2 linked regions of the Neodiprion lecontei genome follow. The protein of the gene in region 2 interacts with the protein of the main gene of each other region in a biochemical or structural test. Links are inferred from orthologs where the notes say so. Each region holds a gene or a part of one and is shown on either strand. Other genes may lie near its edges. The genes, in order: chromatin-remodeling complex ATPase chain Iswi and bromodomain adjacent to zinc finger domain protein 1A.

What was found.
Region 1: the proteins of bromodomain adjacent to zinc finger domain protein 1A (region 2) and chromatin-remodeling complex ATPase chain Iswi form a complex in vitro, tested with the Drosophila melanogaster proteins (3 studies listed by BioGRID). The link is inferred for Neodiprion lecontei from reciprocal best matches to the Drosophila melanogaster genes Acf and Iswi.

Annotation. Positions count from the first base shown.
Region 1 is NC_060263.1:31,592,936-31,604,223, forward strand, and holds chromatin-remodeling complex ATPase chain Iswi, read left to right. Parts: upstream 1-3,921; 5' UTR 3,922-4,279; coding exon 4,280-7,315; 3' UTR 7,316-8,043; downstream 8,044-11,288. Other genes in the region: protein RRP5 homolog, read right to left, coding at 1-383, 629-1,193, 1,269-1,331; NADH dehydrogenase [ubiquinone] 1 alpha subcomplex assembly factor 3, read right to left, coding at 2,823-3,227, 3,309-3,426, 3,527-3,608, 3,727-3,757.
Region 2 is NC_060266.1:591,764-601,508, reverse strand, and holds the start of bromodomain adjacent to zinc finger domain protein 1A, read right to left. Parts: upstream 4,750-9,745; 5' UTR 4,414-4,749; coding exon 4,301-4,413; intron 4,205-4,300; coding exon 4,066-4,204; intron 3,646-4,065; coding exon 3,431-3,645; intron 3,332-3,430; coding exon 3,118-3,331; intron 2,791-3,117; coding exon 2,561-2,790; intron 2,430-2,560; coding exon 1,765-2,429; intron 1,603-1,764; coding exon 1,126-1,602; intron 1,031-1,125; coding exon 531-1,030; intron 427-530; coding exon 1-426. Other genes in the region: probable DNA-directed RNA polymerase III subunit RPC6, read right to left, coding at 5,304-5,378, 5,460-5,621, 5,709-6,327, 6,549-6,634; uncharacterized protein LOC107216885, read left to right, coding at 7,335-7,415, 7,491-7,865; 26S proteasome regulatory subunit 4, read right to left, coding at 8,003-8,137, 8,212-8,447, 8,596-8,982, 9,060-9,621.

The sequences.
Region 1 (11,288 bases), on a different chromosome or scaffold from region 2:
TGTTATAATATCACCAATGTTCAATTTTTCAGTTTCACTTTCTTCCGTCAACAGACTGAAATATGCAAATTTTACAGTTGGCAGAACATACAAGAGCGTACCATGGACCGATTCATCTGTCTCATACGAAGATAATGGATTATCCAAGTAAATCTGATTGATGTAACCGATGTTACTTTCATTATACAGCACCTGCAATCCATTTGACAGAACGCTTTTGATAGTGAGAACCAATTTTGTTCCAGGTACTAGAGCATCTAATAACTGTGTATCCTGAGAAACTGCTTTGCTGCTGTGTTTTTCTTTTGCAGATAACTTGAGTGTCGATGCTGACTCCGACGTTTCAACCGTTTTAATTGCCAAAAAGAGTTGCTGTCCTATAACTTAGAAGAAATTAATTACTTTTCAACTAAGAATCACAAAATGGGGAATTTTTAATTTTTGTATTGATTTTCACACTAGTTTATGGTACTGAGATGAAACGTGCGAATCGGTCTTGTATATATACAAGACCGCATTCTGTTACTTTTGCACTAATTGATTTGTCAATTTCAGAATTCAATATCCGTTCAAGCTTGTTCAAAATTGTGACAAATAATAAATAAAAAGTGACAGGATTCCAACTTACAGTATTCTTTTTCTTCATCAACATCTTTAGAAGTTAAAAAAGCTCTGACATTAGCAACCCCAGTGTCAATGATATAGCCATGTTCTTCAATACTGGATACAGTGCCAACAATCTTCGATTTTGGGATGATCCGAGTGCGATCCAGATTTTGATTTATTAGTTCTGGTTCCAGGGACAAAGAGACTCTCCACTTCTCTGTCAAGTGCAGTTGCTTGACATAACAGACCAAGTAGTCACCAGGTTTGAATAACTCTGTCAGTGGTTTATAACCCTCAGGTTTGTCATCTTGTACGCTGATCATACTTTGCAATAACTTTGTGTACGAATTGCTGATGTCTGTAAGCTCCAATCGACCGATTAATCGTCCAGGAAGCGATACAATCAAGTCATAATCCCTGGCCTCTCGAATACGACCCAGGACAACCATTCCTTGTGTTAACGTAGTATAATTCAAACAGTCCGCTGATGTTGCCAATATATTTGTGGTATGCAAATCTGCATAATTAGTAATGGCAAAATTATCCTTGTGGATTCTTAGTTTTGATCTTGGCTTTTTTTTCAATTCCTATAAACATACATCAAGTTTTGGCGATATGAGCATTACAGGGGAGGGCAGGGGTGATAAACTGAAAAAACTTACATTATTTGCGTGTACATTTTTTAGGGGTTTGCGGCCTCCGCGTGGAAAATTTTTTAACGTCATCTGTAACTTAATTTTAAGGTTAGACACATGAATTCTATTTTGCCCTAAACAGTTAATATGTTTGTACGGAATGCAAATAAAATATAATAAAAACAATCACAATTCCGAGCAATAGTGCCTACTTTTTATTTCTTCGGGTTAACGTATCTATAAAATATGTGTTCAAATAACACACGCACGGATTTTCCCAAGTCCGAACATTCAACTCACACTGGATGCTTAATTTTAGGTTATGTCGGTTTCGGCAGCGTCGGCTGCATGCATACGAGGAAAGGTTCGCGCATGGTCAACTTAACTCCGTGGGTGCGTTCCAAAACCTAACCCTAGAGTTGAGTTAAGTTGAGTTGGGTTCATAAGGGTACAATCAGCTGATTCTCAAGACGCGCAAATATTTAAATTAAAAATGGGGGTTATCGTTGCGAAGGAAATTGCAGCGGGAGTATATGATTTGATGGCGAACTCTGAGAGTTCTTGATCTGAAGACAATGATGATGATTTAGTGCTTGAAGCAATATTCCATTCCGAACTCATCAATGACCCCCCTGCGAGAATTCGCAATTACCTAGATATTATTTCGCAATACTCGCATACAGATTTCAAAAGGCATTTTTGCTTATCTCGAACAACGGTAGAATATTTGCACCAAAGTATTGGACACCAATTGGAAAACTAAAACACAGGTCAGTTCGCAAACAGCTACATTACATCTAACATGCAAGTTACTTTGTGCAAGTGCAACACTAGGGCGTTCCCATACTCGACTACTATCGAATTTCAATCTTGGCGCAAAAACACTGAACCCATCTCCATCTAACCCTGCTCTAGGCAGGGTTCATTTCAATTAGCTCGGAGTCACCCGGAGTTGCCACCTCGCAAGTTTCGGAACTATCAGAGTTTACGACCTATATTTAGACTTACAGGTTTGGAACGCGTAGAGTTGGCCAGAGTTGACTACAGTTGGGTTTGGAACGCACCCCTTGCTTAAGCTGTTTTTAAATATGTGTCAGGCAGGGATTATATAAACGTAATGGATGATGATTCATAAATGAGTGAATTACTTCACACTTTGTACATAAATAATGTTGAATATTTTATTTGCTAAATATTCTATCAACAATTAATTAACTATACAAGTTTCTACGATAATATTTTGCTTTACACATACATAATATTACTATGTACATGGATATAAATTATGTGTATATCGCATAGATACGCATATATTTTTCAAATTCATAAATAGCTACACTATCAATAACAGTCCTTTGGATTCATTTACTGCAATAAAATGAGGTAAGCCAGTTACAGATGTGATATGACTTATGTAAAGTTAATACACTAACAGACACTGTGGATAGCTGTAAATACTTTAAATAATTATGAGCATTGAATCAAAATGCCAAAAGTAATTTTAATTGCTTCTTTCGCTTTTCAGAGCCAAGTTAACTAATATTACATGTACCTTCACTGAAAAAATGTTTGTTGGCGTACCTATAAGTTGGTCGAATTTTCTAAAGCTTTTGGACCCATTGGATCTTGTATGGAATCATTAGCATTAAAATCAAGATTTGCAGGTGGGATGAGCGCAGCTGCAACAAATCTTCCTTCAGCATTAAGGAAATTGAATATAGGACAAGCTTGGCATGTTGGAACGATCTCCATGTTCATTTTGAATTTTTTGGCAAACAGAGCCAGCTTCTTGTCAACTTTAATGTTACTATGAGGGTCACCAGTTCCAATTACTAAAATGTCTGGTTTTGGATCAAGAATAGTAAATAGCGACAGAGTTTCCTCGTTGACATCATCTATAGTATTAACCTTCCAACTCAGTACGCTTCTTGGAAATATTGCAAGTGATCCAATGATACTAATGCCATTGTTTAAACGAAATCCAATCTACAACAAGAATTTTGTTAAGCTCTGTATTGGTACAAACGTTAATTTTATCCAAAAAACAAAGAAATATAATAGCTATACCTTGCTGTAGGAATTTATCATGAGTCCATAGACTTCGTCCCTGTTAAGAATAGATATCGTCGTTTTTCCATCACCTTCGTAAGCACTTTTGCAAATGATTGATGAACTATGAATTTTCCTATAACAATTGATCGGTATTGGTAAGAATAATTTACAAAAGACGTGCAAATACAAAATATAATAAAAATCATTCACACATTTGAATTCGAGTAACTCACCTAATAGTTTGTCTCATGTTTGCCGAAATTATACGGCTAAATATGAAGGTAGTCGTCATCGTTTGCAGGTACAAAAAACACTCTTACGAAAAAATTGATAATTTATTTTCATGAAGTTTGAGGTTACATTGAATTTGAAATTGTATCTTAAGGTTATTTAAGGTTACGTTCTTGGACTTTGGGAGGTTATAGGAACCTACCGGTTTCGACGGACGCGTAAAGTGACGTCATTGGTCTTTTTCGTTCGCTAATCTCGAACTAATACTACTAAAGCCACTCGGCGGTGCGAGTCGCGCCAGTCCACTATCCAGTGAAGAGATCTGTGTTTCCGTTAGATCGGCCTAAAATCCGGTGTGGACACGGCTGAAAGCTTCATTATTCTGCTTCACGCCGTACATGCAACGCTGCAAAGGTCTACCATTTCACTCACGTTGTGTATATACTTTTGAAAGTCGAAATAAAGCTCGACCTGCTACAGTTTGTGGCAATTTGAAGACTACCACTAGTCATTAGAGTTACGTGCGATGGTTTAGTACTAATCATTTAATTACTGGCTGGTCAAGCTGACAGTGATTGCGGACATAAGTTAGTTTTGGAGGGAGTTGAAGCGTTAAAATGGCGATGAGCCTTTGGTTGATTCGTCGGTGAACACGGCATACTACACACAATACCGGTGAATAATCTGGCGTTGGGTAGGCGCTTCAAGTATTTTATTGAATAAATCAAGCAAGAAATTGACCTCAGCGACGAAAAATGTCCAAGCCGGAGACGGAAAATGCCGACGCTGTCGAAACGGGGGAGAATTCAAACGGATCGTCAGCAGAAACAACATCTTCTAGGGGTGGCGATTTCGAAACCAAACTGGAGACCGACAGGAGCAAGAGGTTTGATTACCTACTAAAACAGACCGAAATTTTTTCTCATTTTATGACGAATAATCAGAAAGACAAAAGTGTCAGTCCTCTTAAAGTTAAAGCTGGGAGACCTAGGAAGCAGCCCGAGATTCCTGTCAAAGGTGACACGTCGGCTGATCTCAGACATCGAAAAACAGAGCAAGAAGAAGATGAAGAGCTCCTTGCTGAGAGCAATGTCAGTGTTGCGCCAACGACTCGTTTCGAGTCATCCCCCCATTATATAAAATCAGGAGAGCTGAGGGACTACCAGATTCGTGGTCTTAACTGGATGATTTCGCTCTATGAGAATGGAATCAACGGTATACTGGCAGATGAAATGGGTCTTGGAAAAACCCTTCAGACGATTTCATTGCTAGGATACATGAAGCATTTCCGCAGCATTCCAGGACCTCACATTGTAATTGTCCCAAAGTCAACGCTAGCCAACTGGATGAATGAATTTAAGAAATGGTGTCCCTCGCTGAGAGCTGTTTGTCTGATTGGAGACGCTGAGACAAGGAACACGTTCATCAGAGACGTAATGATGCCAGGGGAGTGGGATGTCTGCGTAACGTCTTATGAAATGGTAATAAAGGAGAAATCAGTATTCAAAAAGTTTAACTGGAGGTATATGGTAATCGATGAGGCTCATAGGATAAAAAATGAGAAATCAAAGTTATCAGAAATTTTGCGCGAGTTTAAGACTGCCAATAGACTTTTACTCACCGGCACACCGTTACAAAATAATCTTCACGAGCTATGGTCACTCTTAAACTTCTTATTACCAGACGTGTTCAACAGCTCAGACGACTTTGACTCCTGGTTCAACACCAACAGTTTTCTTGGAGATAATTCTTTGGTTGAAAGGCTGCATGCTGTCTTAAGACCATTCCTTCTTAGACGCCTCAAGGCTGAAGTAGAGAAGGGACTTAAGCCTAAAAAAGAAATCAAAGTTTACATTGGACTGAGTAAAATGCAGAGGGAATGGTATACCAAAGTGCTAATGAAGGATATCGACATTGTAAACGGTGCTGGAAAAATTGAAAAAATGAGATTACAAAACATTCTTATGCAGCTACGAAAGTGCTGCAATCATCCATATTTGTTTGACGGAGCTGAGCCGGGCCCTCCGTATACCACTGACGAACATTTAGTTTATAATTGTGGAAAGATGGTGATCCTTGATAAACTACTGCCAAAATTGAAGCAGCAAGACTCGAGGATATTAATATTTAGTCAAATGACTAGGATGCTTGATATTCTTGAAGATTATTGCCATTGGAGAAGTTTTCAATATTGCCGATTGGATGGTAACACGGCTCATGAAGATCGACAGCGGCAAATAAATGAATATAATGCTCCCGGGAGCGAAAAGTTCATTTTCATGTTATCCACAAGAGCAGGAGGTCTTGGTATTAATTTAGCTACGGCTGACGTAGTTATTATTTATGATTCTGATTGGAATCCTCAAATGGATCTGCAAGCTATGGATCGAGCACATCGAATCGGCCAACAGAAACAAGTGCGAGTGTTCAGGTTCATAACTGAGAATACAGTAGAGGAAAAGATTGTCGAACGTGCCGAGGTCAAGTTGCGCTTGGATAAACTTGTTATTCAGCAGGGCAGACTAGTAGATGCGAAACAAACAGCTTTGAACAAGGATGAGATGCTCAACATGATTAGACATGGTGCTAATGAAGTATTTGCTTCTAAAGACAGTGCCATAACGGATGAAGATATTGATACGATACTTCAGAAAGGAGAAGCTAAAACAGAGGAAATGAAACAGAAGTTGGAAAATTTGGGTGAATCATCCTTGAGAAATTTTACAGTAGATGCACCGACCGATTCAGTCTACCAATTTGAAGGTGAGGATTATAGGGAGAAGCAGAAAATATTAGGTATAGGCAACTGGATTGAGCCGCCTAAACGCGAGAGAAAGGCAAATTATGCAGTCGATGCTTACTTCAGAGAAGCGCTAAGAGTCTCAGAGCCAAAAGCTCCAAAGGCACCAAGACCTCCGAAACAACCAATTGTTCAAGATTTCCAATTTTTTCCGCCACGATTGTTTGAGCTACTCGATCAAGAAATATATTACTTCAGACAAACAGTTGGGTACAAAGTACCAAAAAACCCTGAACTTGGATCTGACGCAGGAAGGATTCAAAAGGAAGAGCAGCGAAAAATTGACGAAGCTCAGCCACTTACAGACGAGGAATTGACAGAGAAAGAAAAACTGCTTACTCAGGGATTCACAAACTGGACGAAGAGGGATTTCAACCAATTCATAAAGGCTAATGAAAAATATGGTCGAGATGACATTGAGAATATTGCCAAAGATGTTGAAGGAAAATCTCCTGAAGAAGTAATGGAGTATTCTGCTGTCTTTTGGGAACGTTGCCACGAACTTCAAGACATTGACAGAGTAATGGCTCAGATAGAGCGAGGAGAAGCAAAAATTCAGAGACGTGCCGGTATAAAGAAAGCTCTGGATGCAAAAATGGCCAGATATAGAGCACCATTCCATCAGCTAAGAATAGCCTATGGAACAAACAAGGGAAAAAATTATACCGAAGAAGAGGACAGATTCCTTGTATGCATGTTGCATAAACTTGGATTTGACAAAGAAAATGTATACGAAGAACTCAGAGCAACCGTAAGATCTGCACCACAATTTCGCTTCGATTGGTTTGTCAAGTCAAGAACAGCTCTAGAACTCCAACGAAGATGTAACACTTTGATAACGCTAATTGAACGTGAAAATCTAGAGCTTGAAGAAAGAGAGAGACAAGAGAGACGAAAGAAGGGTGGAAGTATTGGATCAAAACCAGCGTCCAAACGGAAGCAAGAGAATCTTCCAGCACCTCAAGATAAACCTAGGAAGAAGAAGAAGTAAATGTACTTTTCATGAACTATGCAACACAATTTCAGTTTATCTAAATTTTAATAAGTTCCAATATCACTTTAAGTTTATTACAGTGGCTGAACTCACGTCGGACACAGGTTGTTCAGGTTAAAATAATTCGACATTATAATCTTTAGGGTCATCTATTATCAAACCACTGTAAACATAAATTAAAAAAATTTTAATTTTTTAACTGCACGTTAATTAAATCTTATAAAATAACTTCTATTAATTGTGTCGTTATGTGAAGTGAGGGGCACCAATTATACAAATTCAATACATTCTTCTAGACAACCTATTTACTTGTCACAAATAACTTGTTTGCCTGTAAAAAGAAGCGATAAACAGCAAATTTCATTTATATGAAGAACACCTTCTTTCCGTGAAGTCTTACGTAATGTTTAGAAGTAACGTCTTTTCTAACTAGAACAGTACATTGTCACACACGTTTGGAACCATAGTTATTTATGAAATATGCATGTAAAACAAAGAAATGCTCTAATTGTTAACGCTGAAAGATTTAATTAAACATCAATCATATTTACAACATTGTCAAATTCAGTGTTCTCTGTACTCTCACTTAGAATTAATTTACTTGGTAAAACTTGGGGATTTGATTCACGATTGATTGGTACGAAGAATTTTGTTTACTATCACGTTTATTGGATTTAAGAATTCTTATCGAGGAGCAGAGTAAATAAAAAGTATGAAATAAGATACATATGTATTATTTAATTTATATCCTAAATTATTTCACAATTTATAATATTTCTATAATTACATATATAATACATATATGTATAATAGTAACAAATATCTTGCAGTGAACACACGTCATTCGTACGTAGCGTAAATACTTGAGAACTATTAAATTATCCTCGTAATCGTCTTCATATAAATATAATAAAAATGAACTGTTTGATTTAAAGAAAGCATAATTTTGTAATACATATCGACAAATCAATTGCATTTTTTACGATCAAGATTTTATCTGTAATTATCTGTGTGCAAAACATAAAAATTGAATATTTAAATGTACCGTCTCTACTGCCAAAATATCTCATCCTATACAAGCATATTAGAGATTATTACGGTAATTATGATACTACCCTACATAATCGTACAGAAATAAATGAATATAGTATGCACATAGAATGTGTGACCAGGTATAATACATATATAGGTGAATCCTATATACCTATAAATGCGTTTACACATACTATGAATACGAATACGTATGTTTTTGACAGTAGTTATAATTGTGATAATTACGCGAGTAATCTTTTATGCAATCTTATATTACGCATTTATTTCACACGTGTACGTAATAAATACCGCATTAGCGGTGCGAGATTTGTACATTATTTGTACAAATCTTGAAACTCTCACTCCTTCTCTAAATTGTTTGTATACCGTTCTATAAAACAGTAGATATTACAATTAAAATTGATTATTCATTTCATTCACTTCAGATCATCCCAATATCATCTCATGTAGAATTCTATCAAACTACACACCCATAGTTTTCATTTAGTTATGGCAAGGGCCGGCCCTTCTCGCAATATATTTAAAATATTGAAAGACATCGCATGAAAAGCTAATTACAACAGAATCTGAAAGTACTGGGTATTCAGAAATTTCTAAATTCACCAAGTAGAATAGTGTGATTAATCCCAGATATTGATATGCATAGCACTTCTAATTCATTGAAGCACGTAAGTATTACAACATGTCCAAATTTATCTTTCACGTATCTCTTTATTCATCACTGACAATGAGCTATTTCAGATTGGTCATTTTCAGGTTCTGTTGCACTTTAGTATGTCTAATAACGAAAGAAAAACATTTTCTTAATTCATAAACAACTTGATATAATATCTTCTCAACACATCCGATTACTAGGCTTCACAGTGCTTCATGAGAATGAGGGGGTAGTAAGGTTCCAATATTTTTTCATAGTACTAATCAACTCGGGCAAAAGTAGTTATACACTAGGGTGTCCGTTATTTTTATCGTTTTTTTTTTTTTTTTTATCAAAAGTTTGAATGTAAAATACATTGATATTTTCGAAGATTTTTTTTTTTTCATAAACTCAAATGAACTGAAAAAATCTATCCGATGCTTGAGAACAACGTTTCGATTTCCAACTAAACGTAGGAATGAAATAATTTCGGTGAGTGCACATATTCTATAGAGAAGGACACTCAATAAAACCGTAATAGTTATGGTTTTGTGAAGTATAAGAGAGTTTTGAGATTCCATGTGTATTTTTATGTTCCTATGTTGAAAGTATAAACATTGCTCAAACATCAAACTAATTTTGTCAGTACATTCTAGTTTGTGAAAAAAAGTAAGTAACTGGCAAAAGTAGTGGGATTTTAGGGAAAAATGGACTGCTTTAGGGTACATTTAGGAAAGCCTTCAGGTTTACAGTGTTTATAGGAGAAGCAAAGAAAATAGGATACCTTTAGGGAACTAGGCGAACACTGTGTAGCCTGGATTACGGAAAAACGTCATTTAAATTAAGAAAAATTAAAAGTAAATAAACCGTCACACGATTACAATTAAAAATCTAAATTTCTCATTGTGTTTTAACTGTGTTTGCTTTTTTTTCGCCGTTAAACATTATACATATATCAGTGTCAATACATTTCGAGATAAACCATTTCTATATATTACGTGAGATGCCTAGCGTTCAATATAATGTAATGTTAGTATTTTCGAATGACCATCATATCGTGGATTATCTATAGTTCAAAATTCATTTAAGAATTAATAATAACAATAGTAATACTGGTACAACGTGTGGTACGGTAAGCGAAATTTTTTCTTTTAGTCTAAATACATGATACGCATTTCATTGCTCACCTAATACCTACACCGACATCTTGGATCTGACAATTTCTTCCATATTCCAACATGTAACGACACCCAAAACGTCAATGTATACCTACTTTATAAATAAATCAGCAAGCTATCTCTTGACAGCCAAGAAGTATTTAAATTTAACAGATAAAATTCGAAATTATAAAATTGTATGTTGGGGCCTGATAAAATTCGTTTCAAGTAATCTCAACACAATGTCAATTAGTAAAAGACAGTAAAATAGAAGTGTCACAGTTTTATAGATGCATCTAAAATAAGATACAAAAAGACTATAACTAAAAAAATGATCGTATATCTTATTGAACCTCGATGATTGATCGACTAGAACACAAAATTTTCATTTCAGTTTAACGAATAAGCAATTTTCCAGTTATTGAAATTACGCAGCTCCACATAATTTTTCAATGTATGTCATGTAAACTTGTTTGGCATCAGGATGGTTCAATATCCTTATAAAGCTAACTCTAATAATAACGTGAAATTAAAAACTGAATCTTATCGGACTTAAGAAATAATGTTAACGTGCGTACTACAGTTTATTTGGTAGTACCCGTGAAGTAAAAAAGTTTCACCTTGTCTCAATGGCATAAAAATCACTGGATATACAGTTGTAAGCAGTGTGAAAAGTGATTATTACGGGTAAAAATATGGAGACTGTACACAGGGTGGTCACTAAATCTCCATCACGGAATTCCCTGACTTTTCTAGGTTTTCCAGATAAAAATCTTATAATTTTCCCTGAACAATTTGAATAAATCCGTTATAATAAATTGAAAACAATATACGTATTTTCTATACAATTTTTTTTTTTTAACGAAAGTACGAATTGTCACTTGTGTCACACCATCCCATCTAGCCAATGCGCACAGTCGTTTGTAAGGTAATATTTAGGAATAATCAAAGTTTTAAGAGAACCTTCCGGTGATGGTAAGAAAATTGGTATTCGATCTAATTTATCTAAAGTTTAAAAAACTGTGGAACGTATTTGTATGAAAAAAGTATATAGTAAACGATTCCCTGACTATTCGAGAATTGCAGAATTCCTTGACTTTTCCAGCTTTCCCTGACCAGTGGCCAC
Region 2 (9,745 bases):
CACAGGTTCGTCTTCAAACGGTGGTCCTAGATATCTTCCTGGATCCCGATAAATTTTAACACCGCTGCTACTGATTTCAGAATCCGGGGTCCCGGGTCTGCTCACCCTGTTCTCATTCTTTATTTTATCCAGGACAAGATTCGACGCAGTGTCTGCCTCAATGTCGTTCAATCCGTAAACCAACTTGTCGCACTGTTTATCATAACCACGCTTGTTTATCGCCGTTCTCCAGACCTCTCGGCTGATGACTTTCAAGGATCCCAGACATCCAACTTTGATTTTATCCTCTAGGTCGAGTATATAGTCCCGTAACGTTAATTCTAGTACCTCCTCAATGTTGGTACCCGGTGGGAAAGTCAGATTAACATTATCGTACTTATTTTTCCTGTGATTCTTATTCGTCGGCTCTTTGATCGGCTCCATATACTGAGAGAGAACAAAAAAAGGACAGAATAAAAAGATGGACATAGATAAATTCCACAAAAAATCAAGTTTTTCATTTTTAATTGGCAAAAAATGTAGGTACTGACCACTTCGGGATTTAACTTGTGTCGGGGACATTCGGCAATGACTGTCGTTAAGCTCGTTGCTTCTTGAATCAAAGTCTGTCTGAGTTCACCTTCTCTGATTCCCCTCTTATTTAACGCATTAATTACACTGTCAATGCTTTCTTGCAAGCCGTAAAAACTCCACTGCGGTCTAGCCGTGACACAATGGATGGGGCAAGTTTGATCTCCTGTACATACGTTCAAGTTTTGTCTAATATCACTGAAATCTACCTTTACTTCTTTCTTAGGACTAAGATCTTTTCGCGGTGATTTTAATCCGTTTTTGTCAGAAAAGGCAACTTTTTTCGGAGACTTCTTCAGCTCCTTAATACTGTTTTCTTTATCGCTGGATTCGTCTTTAAATTTCTTCTTCAAATACGCATACATCGCCTCTCCGGACTCATCTTGAAGCTCCGGTTTGTAGGGAGTACCCCCGGGCAGACAAGCACCCGGCCATCTTTCATCGTTCTCCACAAATAAACCTAGAGTTTGAATGAATATAGCGATTAGGATCCATGAAAGGAATAAGAAATTAAAAATGTGTCAGACGTTATGCACATCAAAGACAATTCCGTACCTGGTATAGATAGGAACCTCCAGTACCTCCTATGTGCCCTATCCGAGCCTAGATAAAGCATCATTTGATCATCTCGAGATGCGGTCTGTAGTTCTTTCAGCTTGTTTTCGTATTCCCCCTTCTTTTTTTCGTCCTCGTAATTTCCTCTCGTTATTTTCTTAGGTTTCTGCTCTTCCTCCTCTACTCTTCCCTCTTTCTCTCTCTCCTTCATTCTCTCCCTCTCTTCCTTTTCTTTCTTTTGCTCAGCTATCAGGAATAACTTGAGTTTCTTCTTTGCTTGATGCAGTTTGTCGTATCTTTCATCGATCACGTCGCGAATAGATGCAAACGTAAGCAACTGATTAATCAAACAACTGACAACCTTCAGTCGATCATCCAATTCGAATTCGCAGACATTCATGTGGCCCAGAGTTCGAAGTATATGCGCCTCCTTCATTCTCAAGAGCAGTACTGGATCGTCATGATTTGTATAGCCACCTAAAATTCAATTTATTCCATCATATAACAGGTTGGCATGAAATTAATCATTCAACGGGAATTTCAGATGCCTACAGCCCATTAACCATTCGACTGTATTCATTTTATTGGCAATAGCTATCAAAAATAGGTGTGCATCGAGATAAACGAATAATTGGTTACCTCTTTGAGAATAGCGCCACTTAGATGCCACGTCGCTTATCCTACCGCCAGAACTCAAGAGATGCTGTCGTAAAATTTCACTCAATGTAACGTAATCCAAAGTCAGCTCGGATAATTGACACCCATGGTGCGTTTGACACCAAGATGAGGCTATTGTGGCTAATTTCACGGCTTCGGCCATAGATGAAACCCCATGGTCTATATTTCTATCGTCAGTTAGATTAGCAGCATCCGCGTGGATCTCATCTTCTTCTTCGGCTTGAAATTTAAAAATGTTTGCAAGCAAAAGTTGCAAGAGGTCACTCCAAGGTCCTGCAACTTCTTTCTCTAACAGAGCTTTCTCCATCAAGTCCAAGTTCACTCCACCTGGAAAGTAACTGCCAACTTCTAACTCTTCATAGAAATATTGTAGAAATTCCAATATCATGACGAAGTCGCCAAATTTGTCATTGGGAATGAAACATTTAACAGGGGTCGGATCTGGAATTTGTCGGAGATCTTCACATTCTAAGTCTTCTCTGGGTTTATTCCACTCCTTCACATAAGCTGCAAGCTTTTGTTTTTCTTCCTTCTTACGACCCCGTTCTTCGAGCCTCGCTTCTTTCAGGCGAGCTTTTTCTTCCAGAGCTTTAGCTTTCAGATCTTCTTTAAATTTACCATTCATCCTGCACAGACAATTAACTGTGATAAATTTGTAAGGTATCACGAAAGTGAAACTCCAGTTGATTGTTATCATAAAAGTGAGGAAAAAAAAAATATCTGGAAATTCATACAAGTCCTCAACGTTTCAACTTACTTTTGTTTCTTTGATTTCTTGCCGATTATTCCGCTGTCGTTTATTTTCTTCAAGGGATCTGGCTTATCAAAGACCCTATGTTTCGCTATATCTGGAGTAAGAAACTTCGCTATAGACTCCTGCTTGTGCTTGATAGGTTTCTTGAGACGTGGAGAAAAGTCTGGCATGGGTCCAGCAAATATCGTATCGAATCGAGTCTTATGAATGCCATACTTTTGTAAGACATTCTCCTGCAACAAGCAAACCAAAACATGTAGGCAGAACAAATACTGTATGCCAACCGTAATGTCCAGTTGATGCTGAGTCAATTTTTCTACAGGCTTAATACAAATCTATTTGTAGAATTATGAGTCAGCTTGTTCCAATTATCTGACGCCAATTCGAGGTTTCATTCACAAATATCTGTCACAAAGTCATTGCATTAGATGAAACGTCGTTTGACATTCTTGGTTGAGTTTATAGATATTCTGTCAACGACTATTGAACCTCTCTAGTAATAAATAAATCAACAAGCGAATTCAAATATTACACAGAATGAAGCAAATTGAACAGATTACCTTGACCATCCATATGCCAGTCTCGCCTTGCTCGCAGAGTTGTCGCAAGAATATCTTATTCCTTTCTCTGCTGTAGTGTTGTTTGCGTCGTCGCACCTGTGAAGCCTCAACTATCATGAGCTGGCTAACGTCTGTGTCACCTCCGCAATCAAACTGCTCCACTTCGTAGCGAAATAATTTTGCCGGAGGTTGATACTGTCTTTCCAGCATGCTTCTTTGTGTAAATGGTTAAAAGAAGAGACAAGGAGATAAGAAGACACCTAGTTAGGTCAAGAACGACAAGCCATTGCCCAAACCGAGATTTGACAAATACCTGTTATTTTCTTTTACGTAAGAATTAATCTGTTGCTTGGTAGGCTCGATGACCTGTAAAACGTGACACTCGCACCAGGCATCTTCGGTAAAACTGGCCTCGACCATTTCTCCTACAAAGTATCTGTCTCGTGCGAATTGATAAACATCCTCGACCATTTCATTAAGTGAAGTCCTGTTTGTTTTGCTCGCCAGGTATAAGATTGGAATTCGCAACTGCAATCAAGACCCAAACGTAATTTAAACCTCAGACACTGTTATCGAGATTCTGGTAATAATCTAAAACCAGGTTACGTAATGCAATACAATGCATTATGCGGCGAAGTCAAGATCAATTGTCAGATAAACAATTTTCAATTACTAGGTTATGTTGCAGTTATTTGTAAAACGTGTATAATCACAGACTGGATTTCCTCCGTTCGAGGCACATCTTTCATCGGAATATCATTATCAAGCTTCTATGTTCACACGAAAAGAAACACTCGGATTTAGTAAAGTCGTGGGGGTGTAAGAGAAAAAAAAAACCTAGCGATCGTGACTGAAAAAAAGTGGAATCTTGGGGCTTCGAAGAAGTTCGTTGCTGCCCAAGCAAAGGTATGTTAGAAGAATGTGTATGTTGCATTTGATGTGTATTACCTCCATGGGAAATTCCTTGAGACTCTTTCTCGCATTTTCCTCGCTGAGCAATGCCTCTTGGTAAGTGAAATTCGGCTTTCCTGTGATACTACAGGACCAGACGAGTGAGTTGCAGAGAATAATTCTTTCGCAGAATTCACTGAAAAGCAGGAGAAGACGTCGGAGACGTTACAGAACAAAATGCGGCGAGTGCGTTTGTCCGTAGGTGAAAATGATCGAGCTGTCAAACACTAACTTGTAATCTTTGAAGATCTCGTTGGTCGCCTCGCAGTGGAAAACCTCGTCGTCGTCGCGGAAATCGGAGGAGACGTGCAACTTGTGAAAAAGCTTCTTGCGTAGGAGAGGCATGACGACGCTGGCGCGAGCTGACCCGACTTGTTAATTCGTCACGAAACACTCTCTCCGCAGAAATCAATCTCAAGTGATCTACGTTCTGGCCGATTATACACGTCCCGCAGCCCCGCTTCGGCCGCCCGTCGCCCTTAAATCTCCACTTGGACGCACAACCGTCTTGCCGAGGACGCTACGCAACCCTCTAACTATCCTCGGGGATGACGAATAAGCGATTTTTCAATAAAAATGTACAAATTCATGACAAGGCGCGATTTAACGGTGTCTCGGAAAGCGCGCACACCTGGCAAGACTCACCGGATACCGCGTTTTGCGTCTGCGTCCCTCTTGAAACCGAAACGCCTGGGGGCCATTTGGCGGGAGAGACCATGGAGCACGAACTCAATGGGTGAATTGACAAAACTTGTCATAGTAATCGTTCACGTCAGGTTTGTTTTTTGTACCACTAGCGTCGCCAGCGTCCCTTTTGTACCGAATTGTCTCTGGCTGCAAGGATGCTAATTGTAAGATCGAATGATCGGTGATCTTGCGTTGTGATCTGTAGAAAGTTTTCACTACTGCCTTATAATCCGTCCAATACCTTCGGTGCATACGGAACATCAGTGCCATCTTACTTCAGGCAGCTATTTGGTTGCATGGACTTCGTGCTCCTTGTATAGTCCCCATGGGAGAAACGCTCTGCTATAATCATGGAGAATAAAATTTCGGCAACAATCGACCACCTTGTTTCTCATCTTTGACACTACGCGTACCGTGCAGTTTACGAATTAATTGTACAATACAGGCTTACAGAGATGGATCTCGAATAAGAGCAGAATAAACGGAAATTCACATTTCATGGATCTATATTTATACACAGATTCAACGCGAATTTCGATGTCAAAACTTCACTCCAACCATTCCTTGATGTAGTGACATTTCTTTGGCGTTATTTCTCCCACGTCGCAGCAGTTTTTTCTCACCTGAAAGCAAAATACAGTATACCTCAAAGATGCTCAACGATCATTCGTCGCTTCTCGTTTATTATACAACATTAAATATACCGGACAAACACCGCAAGGTGTTCTAATTAATCCTGGAGGGCTGAGCAACGGTTCGACCGCTCGGTACAAGTTGCTTCCGTCGCTTGACAGAGTTCTTTCCACTTTGCCGTCGTAGATAAGGGTATTCAAAATCATTTCCAGATCCTCCACGGAAAGCTTAACCTGCAATATTATCGTTTCATTTATTTAGTCAAAGTATTATCGAGGAGTAACAGCAAAAAGTTAGTGAAAGGTATCCCGTTGCCGTACCTTGCTTATTCCCAGATCGGAAATGAATTTCCAAACTTCTTTCGACGACGCAAAAGCTATATTTCTTGCACCGATAGGACCGTCCTTGCAGTTTTTTGTACTGTCTTTTTTTTGCTCCAAAAATCTGTAACACTGCTGGTTTAGAATATCGACGAATTCTGCCTCAAAGTCTTGATCCTGGTACCACGCGCCTCCGGTCACAGATCTGTCAGGCTCCAAGTTGTAAAGCATATATACCTTCTTCTTGCTAGCCGCTACCGACTTTACAGCTTTAATGAACTTCTTAGTTTCCAAACTTTTTAAAATTTTATTCAGCTGCGTCGGCATTAAATTGGATTTGAACCTGATGTCGCGTATCCATATCCCCTTGTTCCCAGCCTCTTCGATTATATTATAAACAACTTTCTCCTCGTTGTCTGCCCCTTTAACCGATTTAGCCTTGCTCGGATCTTTCAAACGGTAAAGAAGAGTTCCACCCTGCTTGAATAAGTCAAAGTATCCCTGAGCCAATAGCTTGTTTATCGCTGCCGCCTTCCGCGCCGGTGCCAGATCTGGAATCTCAGCAGATATGTCTTTATCCGAGATGCCCTTCGGCTTTGCTTGAGCCAAGGAGATAATCCTGAAATCAAAGCTGTACCTCTTACACTGTTGCACAAAAAATCTCGTTTAACAGGTTCCCTTCAATTTCATTATACAAAGTTAGAAAACTATGGAGCTTTGAAAGCGTAACAAACATTTGCTGCTATATCCGGTCTATTTGACAGTTAATTGTTATCTATTTATTACGTTATTAACGGTCTGTTTGACAGTTATTTGACAATTAATCTTAAAGCATCATACTTTTCTTCGATAAATTCTGGCGATTCACCCACATCGACAATTCTATTTATTTCTCGCTCACTAGAGAATTCTCCTCTGACATCCATTAGTATTTGATAATTAATCGTTGACTCAAAATCTTACGAACGAATTAGAAGCAATGCAATGAATTGCCATCGAACCTTGCAACGAACACGTGTGGCTGCGGCGACGAACCCACGTGACGTACGCCCCCTGTAGGAAAAGGGCTTACTATTGCCACTGATTTGGTAAAATACACAAGTCACGTGAACGATTTGTTCATGATAATCAATTTATTTCATTTACAGGAATTGAGGGGATAGCTAAAATCCGAGACTCAGTACTCTCGACATTTCGCCCACGTTGGACGCTCCATGCTATTCCTATTTTCATTTTTGTTCAATTAATAAATTCATAACTATTTTGAATTTTATGTGGAGAAATGCATGTTGCATGCTTGGGCATTATCAGGCGTTCTTGGTGTACGTTTGGTTGCATGTAATTGGGCGCTTTATAAAACACCTTTAATTACGCATATAATCAGGCGTAATGTCGTACAAACAAGTACCAACAGTTGCATTTAATTGATTATTAAACACTTTGCTCTTCTCTTTCCGAATAACAAAGAGGAACTACCCTACAATTACTACTTTACTCCCGCTTACACAGTTTGCAAATTTTTGATAAATTATGTAATATGCGTACATCGAATGAATAATCGTACAGATTGTGTCAGATCCCGGGACTTATGTGACACTGTCAAGTGATTGGAAACATAACCTTGAAATGGATGACTGTGAGGAAATTGAGCATTCAGTAGAGCTTTCCGAAAGAAATTGGAATCGAGTTATAAATAGAGCAATTAAGGTAAGAATTCTCTGGTAGTGAAATGACGAGAATTTCAATCAACATTACTTGATCACAGTCCATCAACTTTCTCAGGCCGGTTATAGGGAAGGAGTTGAAGAAGGAAAGAAATCAGTTTTCCAAGAAGGTTTTGACATCGGTTACAAAGACGCTTTCGAAACTGCCTTCGTATTAGGAAAATACAAGGGGCTGGCAACAGCCATGAGTAACGACTCTCAAACTCTACCAGCTACAGATGATGTACTTGAAAAGACAAGGCGAGGGGCTTGCTACGTCTGCAATGAAAGTACGAAGAGCAAAGTAAAGACAGATGATTTCGTTAAAATGCCGCTGCAGGATATAAGAAATGGTCAGAAGAAATATTCTACAAGGATACTAGAGACGCTGCAGCATCAATTTGACGAATTGACAAGCAAACACGTAACATGTATCAACAATGCAGTTTTGTAGCATTATGTCCTGTACCTGTAAAGTTAACCCAATCAATTAATAGTTGACAAAAGTTGGTTGAGTTAAAGAAAATTTATTTATTCGAATTTCGTATTATTACGATTGATAAAAAATACAAGGGAAAGCGAAAAATTAAATTATAAATATAATCCTTCAGGCGATCCTTCCTTCTTGCGGTACAACACACTCTCCTTGGATTTCTTGAAGTCGTCGCTGGTTACCTTCATACGGCGCTCTCGTAAAGCCATGAGACCAGCTTCGGTACAGATCGCCTATGGGAAAAGTTAACTATAACTTTCCATTTTTACCCATACAAAGAATCTTACTTTTACTGCAAAATAATCACCTTTATGTCAGCTCCGGATAGGTCATCTTTAGCCATGATGAGATCTGCCAGGTTTACATCTGGTGCCAATGTCATTCTACTTGTGTGAATGCTAAAGATTCTCCTCTTGGTTTTTTCATCTGGCAGGGGAAACTCGATCTTTCTATCGATACGTCCGGGTCGAATTAGTGCCGGATCCAAAGTTTCGATTCTATTAGTTGCCATCACTACTTTGACATCTCCACGACTGTCAAAGCCTGTCCATTTGAATAATTGATTCACATTAGCACTTTTGCACATAGTGCCGATAAGCGGTAAAACATCAGCACATCATCAAGCACTTGAAGATACAAATAGTTATTTTACTGACTCTCTGTCAGTATGGAGACAAAATCTTTTACTCACCGTCAAGTTGGTTTAGTAGCTCCAGCATAGTACGCTGGATTTCTCTTTCGCCTCCACTGTTGCTGTCATATCGTTTTGTACCAACAGCGTCAATTTCATCTATGAATACGATAGAAGGAGCATGTTCCTCAGCAACTCTGAATAGCTCTCTGACAAGTTTCGGGCCATCCCCTAGATACTTCTGGATCAATTCTGAACCAACAACACGCAGGAAAGTCGCAGATGTCTGATTGGCCACTGCTTTGGCCAGAAGAGTTTTACCCGTTCCCGGTAAACCGTAGAGTATAACACCCTTGGGGGGCTTGATTCCCATCTCTTCGTAATATTCCGGATGAGTGAGGGGCAATTCGACCGACTCTTTGATTTCCTGAATTTGTGTATCCAAACCTGGGAAAGAAATATGATGTCAGTGCATGCTTCTGAGAAGATATATGATACGTCGCTTGAAAAATACAAAAGCTCACCTCCGATATCGGCGTATGTTTCTTGCGGGGCTTTCTCGAGCTTCATCACTGTTACCATCGGATCCGTGTCATCGCCAAGGACGCCAACAACGGCGTGCACCTTGTGATTCAATAAAACAGAACATCCTGGCTCCAGCTGATCTTTGTCAACGAATGACAAAATCGACACGTAATGCTCGGACCCTACAGATGTAGAAACAATGGCGTGATTGTCGTCAATTATTTCCTCCAATGTCCCAACCGACATCGGCGTTCCTCTAAGATCGTCGACCTTGGATCTCTCCTCTTCATTTTTCTCTTCCTGCGGCTTAAGTCGCTCCTGATTTCTAATGAACTCCTCCTCCATCAACAAGTAATCCTTGATTCTTTCATACTTCAAGAGCTTCAGGCGACACCTGGTGTGGGGCGTGACTTGGGGCAATTTTGTCGCAGCGTCCGGTCCCTTGGTTCGTCGTTTCTTCTTTCCTACGCGCGTAGGAATTGGGGGCTCGTACTTCTTCTTCTTGTCTTTGTCATCCTTCTTGTCCCCTCCCGTACCTCCTGTTCCCGACTGATTCTGACCCTAATTTTAGAGCAAAAAGACACCTGGTTTTACATTCCGGTCACGTATGTCGTATAGACCCAAGAATTTGGAATAAGGTATTTCCAACAACTCTGTGTCAAAGCCAACCTCCGAAATATCGTCT